Linked DNA regions of Canis lupus familiaris. The protein of the gene in region 1 interacts with the protein of each later gene in a pairwise test. Links are inferred from orthologs where the notes say so. Each region holds a gene or a part of one and is shown in the gene's direction. Other genes may lie near its edges.

Region 1 (3,500 bases):
CATGGAGAGAGGGTGACTGTACAGTCTTCATCGCTCTGTATTTGGAACAGCCTTTTGGTGACTGGCTTTTTACAACAGTGTAGAAAATCCCTGTTTAGCAATTTTTCTAAAGAAGTCATTCTTATTAAAGGTGATTTGGAAAAAGAGAAAATTTATATCTGTGCCACTGATGTTTTTCTTTTTTTCTATTTGCATTTCCTGCTCTTTCCTGTGTGTAAGGTTGTCCTGTTCTGTCTTAATAAACACAGTAGTAATTGTGCTATTTATTTATGTTGTCTTTTACCCTTCCCTTTTATATATTATATAAATCTTATGTAAACATAAATATGTTAAAACAGTTTATGAACTTTGGGCCTTCAGGTGTTATTTATTTCTTATTATATACTGTGTTCATTTCTAATTTTTTAAAAATGTCAGTAACTCTTTTATCATAGTTCAGCATTTCTGTATTTGATTTTTTTTTAAGATGTATTTATTTATTATTTTAGAGAAAGGGAGTGTGTGCAAGGCAAGGGACAGGGGAAAGGAGACCTTCAAGCAGACTCCCTGCTTAGCCCGAGGAGGAGATGAGGGACTTGCTCTTAGGATCTTGAGATCGTGATCTGAGCTAAAATCAAGAGTCGGATGCTTTTTAAAAATTACTATTTTTACTTTTGAAGATTTTATTTATTCATGAGAGACCCACAGAGAGAGGCCGAGACATAGGCAGAGGGAGAAGCAGACTTCCTGTGAGGAGCCTAATGTGGGACTCAATCCCAGGACCTTGGGATCACAACCTGAGCCAAAGGCAGATGCTCAACTACTGAGCCACCCAGGTGCCCCAAGAATTAGATGCTTATCTGAGTCACCCAGGTGCCCCTGCATTTGATTTTTTTAATCATTTTTGTAGGTTTTTTAATAATTGAGATATATATAGAACATAGACATTACTTGTCTTTTTTTCCTTAGGACCATGTAAGAATCCTTGAAGACTGCTTCAAATAATTAACTTTTGTGTTTTTTTGTTTCCCCCAGGTTATAGTTATGAGCGCTACATTAGATGCAGGGAAATTCCAGATTTACTTTGATAACTGTCCTCTCTTAACTATTCCTGGACGTACACATCCTGTTGAGATCTTTTATACTCCTGAACCAGAGAGAGATTATCTCGAAGCAGCCATTCGAACAGTGATCCAAATTCATATGTGTGAGGAGGAGGAAGGAGATCTTCTACTTTTCTTAACTGGTCAAGAGGTATTAATTGTCATTATTTGCTTAATTATTTAGCCTTTAGCATGTTAAATTATACAACAGCTTTTAAAATCTAAGAACATGGTATATATTAACCACGTATTTCTTATCCCAAGGTTTAAAGATTTTCCTCAACTTGACTGTATTTATGTATGAAGCATTATAACCCCTTTTTATATGTACTCTAAGAATACCCTTTTATACAATTGGTGTTTGTTAATTATCCTAAGAATGTTACGTGCTTTTAGAATTTCAAGATTTAGCAATTGCAGTTTTCAACTTTGGAGATACCTGAGTGGTAAGTGGTGGTGTGATAATTTGCAGCTTTGCTAAAGCATAAATTTGAACCACACAGCTGCAGTGAAATCATGTTGTCCTAGTCAGCTTGTGAGTGAAGTTGAGTGGCTTCAAATGTTTGTGTTTTGATTTTGTCTTCATGTGTTCACTGAAGATTAGAAGGAATCAGTGAAATTTCTTAGTTGGAATTTACCTCACTTTGACAGGTTTTATTCTCAGGTGTAGATTTTTTTTTTATTTTTTTGTGCTGCATTTTTTAAAACTTGTTTTCCACCGTAGGTTTATAGGTGTGCTATGAAATTCTCAAGCTAAAGTTCAGGAAAAAGCTATCTGGAGAAGACCATTTCAGAGAGCCTCTTACTGGAGGTTTTCTTAGAGCTTGTCCTCTGTTTCAGTAGGCTTTATGAACTTTCTAGAATGTATTTTTCTAACATACATGCAGTTCCACTTAGAAAATTTCCACTTACTGATTCTGATTCAGTAGGTCAGGTGTAGCCTGAGATTCTGTCTACCTAACAAGCTCCCAAGTAATGTTGAAGCTCTCCAGGGTTGAGTGGTGAGGTTTTGGGGTAGTGCTGTTCCATCAGACCTTTTGTTGGTGCTGAACATGTTCTGTCTGCCGTTCAGTATGTCACTCACCAGGAGTGTATGGCTTTTGAGGATTTGAAATGTGGCTGGTGAGAGGAGGGAATACATTTTAATTTTATAGCATTTTAATTTAAATAGCTACATGTGCCAACCTTCCTCCAGTTTCAGTTTTTGTATGGCCCACTAGTTAAGAATTGTTTTTACATTTTTAAGCAGTTGTAAATAAGAGCAAAGAATGTGCAACAGAGATGATGTGTGCATTCAAAGCCTAAATTGTTTTGGCCCTTTACAGTAAAAGGAAAAGGTCTGACCCCTGCCCCAGAACATTTTTCTCAAGTGTGATCATTGGACAGTCTACTTAGGAGAGAAGAGTAGAAGAGTTTGTTAAAAGCAAGTTCTTGGTCCTGTTCCAGACTTGCTGAGATAGGTGAAATCTGAGGCGAAAAAGGAATCTGCATCTTCAATGAGGTCTGTGGGCCATTTTTATATTTCCCTAGGTTTAAAGGTCATTGTCCCAGAGGAATGTTTAAACCAGTATAATTCCTGTAGTACATTAATGACACAACTGTAAACAGTGTTGTGGGGAATTGCTCTAATTCTCCCAGATACAAAAATCACAGGTCTTCTGTGACTGCCTACCTCCATTGGAATGTGAATTATTTTATTTGTATTCAATTTCTACAGGAATGCTTGATACACATAATATTCCAGCAAAGGCTGTTGTTTTAAGAGCTATAAATGTTGCGTCATTTCTTTGTCCTTGCATTTCTTCAGTATTTGTATGATCTATGATTTGTACCCCCATTGGCCACAATGCTTTTTCTGTAGAGCAGGTTTTTTCAACTTCACTATTTACATGGTTGGCCTATCAGTTTTTTTTGTTGTGGGGTAACCTGTGCATTGTGGCATCTTTGGTCTTTACCCATTACATGCGGTAACATTCTCTCCTCCAGTTGTAACAACCAAAAATGTCTGCAGAAACATTGTCACATGTCCCCTGGGTAGAAAATCATTCCCAGTACAAAATCATACTTGTTCTTTTGGGAAATAAAATGTGTTGCAAATTCACTTTTACAGATAAACCCTCTGTTGGTACCTGTCTTTATTTTTATGCATTTTGAATGGAAGAATTTTTATAAATTTTAGAAGCAAGAGTACCAAATGCTTTTTTGAGGGCATAAAAATGGTATTTATGCAATAATGCAGCCTTAGGCATTTGAGGTATTCATCTTGTCCTTTTGTGCCTGGTCTCTAGTTTCTTGATTCATATAGAGTGCTGTGTAGTGTATTTTCTTAAATGACTTTTTAAAATAGCCATTATGTTCAGATAACTAAGCATATTAGAATTTTATCAGAAATATCAGATGATCTCATGGTGAGAACCT
Region 2 (3,500 bases), on another chromosome or scaffold:
GACCGGGGAGTGGGGGGGGGGGGACGGGACCAAGCAGACTCCCTGCCAAGAGCAGAGCCTGACACAGTTCAATCTTGACCCTGAGATCATGACCTGAACCAAAATCAAGAGTCAGATGTTCAACCAACTGAGCCATCCAAGCACCCAGGCAAGACTGTTTATCATAACATAAATACTTGTATCTAAGGGAAGTTCCCAGGCAGCATATAAAGAATGCTTTTAAGGCTGTTAAAGTACATTCATTTCTATGAGAAATGTTCTTTTTTTTTTTTTTTTTTTATTCTGCTTTTTAGAATGATTATATTTTGGTGATAGAAGTTTAAAATTTGGCTGATTAAGCAGTTGTTGCAGTTCCTGGTCCTTGAACTTTCTTTGGTGTGGAATAGTTTATGGTGAAGCTTTAACTATAAATGTGTAAAACTCTACAGATTCGAGAAATGATGGAGTCCTTTGAAGGCCCTCAGCCAGCAGACGTGAGGTTGATGAAGAGGAAAACAGGTGAGAGCTTGCTTAGTTCCGGCTGTTCTGGCTCTCTTCCCCATTCCCACCTCAGCCCGTAAAGACCATCCTGATTCCCCCAATCTTCAAGCACATGAATTCAGAATGAAAGGTTTGCCATGGCTAAGGAATGTGACTCTTTGAAAACGATATTAGAGAGCACCTGAGGACCTTTTTAAAAACTTTGTTTTTAGGGGCTTTTTTCCTTCGGTAAGTAGCGATTTATAAACTCCTTGTTTGACTGTTTGTAGTCGGTTGCATGGTTACTTTTTAAGCGTGGAATCAAATCGAGTGGCACTTAGTTCAGGCGGCTTGGTTCCTTGCCATGGCAAAGTATCAAGAAGATCCCCAAGTCAAGTCACATTTGTAAAGCTGCTTCCCAATTGGCTTTGTCACGCAGTGTTGAAGCAGTGGGAGAGAGATTCACCTGTTATAAAGGAACTGACTAACACGAGTATCCCGTCTATATCTGAATGCTGTCTCTAGGTGTAAGCCGTGGTTTCGCCTTCGTGGAGTTTTATCACTTGCAAGATGCTACCAGCTGGATGGAAGCCAATCAGGTTGCTTCACTCACCAAGTCTAGATATTCATGAAAATGGAACAAGTCTGTACAATTTAAAAACAAAAAAACAAAAAAGGTTGAAGGAGTGGTTTGTTCCAAAGGAGTGATTTTTTTAAAAGAAAAGCTTTGTATATATTAAAATTGATATTATTAGAATAATACAGCAGCAAGGACTGCATTATAGAATTTGCTCTGCTTTTAAACGTGGCTGCCTGGCAGAGTTTGTTAATCACTGAATACCTGTCTGGTGATAACCAAAACACCTTCTCTTTTCCCCTACTGATGATGTTCCTATTCATTGTGTCCGTTGAGAGTAATCTTAAAATATCCAACTCTCGATTTAATAGCAAAAAGAATGCAGTAGAAGTCTGCTACAGGCATTTTGAAGTAATTCCATTTTTCTGCTTGGAGACCACAAGCCTCTAAGAGGCATAACTGCTCATATGGGTCTTCAAGGACTATGTAAGGACCTCATGGAATTTATGAACAATAAGTCTGATGAGATTAGCCTGGAAGCTGGTGTCCTGCTGCTGTCTAATCTAGTTAAAGTGGCATTAACATTCTAATCTCCCTGAGAATGCCTTTTGTATTCCGTTCAAAGCAAATCATTGATGGTTCTTTGATGTAGCATTAACTGAAGTGTTCCACAGTTTGTCGAGATAACATTCTGTACTTGGCACTTAAATAACATTTTTTGCCAGAACTCCACAAAGTGCAGTATTAAATGCCTTAACCCAGTGCGTTCTGGGAAGTTTGTTTAACTCATTATGTTGCTTTTCTGCAACATTTTATGATTTGTCACCCACGAATAAGTTACACTCCGGTATGTATTGCTGTTTATAACAAAGACTCACTAATGAGCATATCATTTTGATTGAATGATTTGTTAGATTTTTAAACCTCTCATTTTCTTAACTCAGAGGTGATAGCCTGATCTTACAGAAATAGAGTTTCATTCATTTCCTACCACGGACACCATGTTAGTAAATTGAGAACCTATACACAAGCTTCATGTGAGTCTGCCCTCTTGACACAGCAGCATCTTTTGATGCATTGGAGGTATCAGAATGGCTTGCCTGGGAGTTTAAAACTCCAAAGAAATTAAAACTCACAAGACATTTAAAAATCTCCACAATTTTAATGTATACAAAGCTAAGTTCACGTGTAATATTTCATTACAGCTCAAATTCACTCCAGAAATAAGACCAATAGGATTAGGGACTCAGTGATAGTTTGGAGTCTCCCCCAGCACACACCCCTCCTACTGGGATGATCTGTTGACATATCTCCCAGCTTCATTTTTGTTTCTGTACAATAAAGTGAGTGGATGGCCCTTCAGCTTTTTCCCTCTTGGCCAGACATGCAGTCTTGCCTTTAGATATTGCAGAGACAACATTCACAGCATGTCTTAACTCTTCCAGGATTTTCAAGAACCAAATTACTCAACAGTATGTATATTTAGAGGGGTTAGACTCCTTTTAAAAATCTGGATATCTAACCTCTTACTTAAATCTGTTCTGATAGTATCAGAACACCCTGCTCCCTCCCCCATTGATCCCCCTCCCCCCCATGAAAAGCAAAAGAAAAGGTGCTCCTGTTAAATGAAGGCTCTTTGGGGGCAGGTGCTGGGTATACTCTTGGCTAGACTGATTGAGCTTGGAGTTTTGATCTTTTAAAGTTGTGTCTCTTTTAGTCACGTGGTTGACTTGAAGGGTAAGGTGGTGTATGCATTTACGAACTCTTCTGACCCCCCAGAAGAAACTTCATTGGCCTCCTGGTTACTCATCTTGAAGAGAGTACCATGTATTTCAGGGAAAAACACATCTGTCACCTAGGACATAACATGGTTTCAATTGGCAGGAAGAAATCTCATTTAGCTGCTTTAGAGTCGATGGCATTCAGAATAGGCCCTCCAAAGAAAGAGTTGTAACCAGATTCCCTTTAAACTTGAGCTCCCCCCAAAAAAACCTGAGCTCCCCTCCCTTTGTCCCCCAGAGGACACATCCTGAAGCAAGAGTTTGGGGAAGGGGAACTAGAAAGGATTTACTTTGCATAAGGACGGGGACTGGGGGAAAAGTGAAGCGAAGCCCAAGGACACCATGCTGAGGCTAAAGTAGGAGGCAATCTCAGAACTGGGAGAATTGTGTCTTCTGCTTTTTGAAATAGACTGTCACTCTCAGGCAGCCTGGCAATGCTGAATGTTAGGACTTCTGTCTCTGCTGGAGACACGGCCTGGTGCATGTCAGCGGTTAGAGTTTGGCAGCTTTCTCAGCACTCCCTGACTCCGTTTACCTTTACTCCGCATCCCATTCTCTTACTGCCTATCTGAAGGATTGGATGGGCAGAGTATAGGTGGCGGTGGTTGGTCTTCCCCGTATGTTGTCCATTTAATTCCAGAGCACTGATTTTTCCGAAGTGTGCTCTGCCCTGGGAAAATGGA

Evidence for each region.
Region 2: the proteins of DHX15 (region 1) and RBM5 interact in binary tests that used the Homo sapiens proteins (3 or more experiments, as listed by UniProt). The link is inferred for Canis lupus familiaris from reciprocal best matches to the Homo sapiens genes DHX15 and RBM5.

What each region holds. Positions count from the first base shown.
Region 1 is NC_049224.1:86,179,499-86,182,998, forward strand, and holds part of DHX15 (pre-mRNA-splicing factor ATP-dependent RNA helicase DHX15), read left to right. Parts: intron 1-1,014; coding exon 1,015-1,233; intron 1,234-3,500.
Region 2 is NC_049241.1:39,622,160-39,625,659, reverse strand, and holds part of RBM5 (RNA-binding protein 5), read left to right. Parts: intron 1-228; exon of another isoform or gene 229-428; coding exon 429-498; exon of another isoform or gene 499-984; coding exon 985-1,058; exon of another isoform or gene 1,059-1,104; intron 1,105-3,500. UniProt on the Homo sapiens protein: Component of the spliceosome A complex. Binds to ssRNA containing the consensus sequence 5'-AGGUAA-3'. Regulates alternative splicing of a number of mRNAs.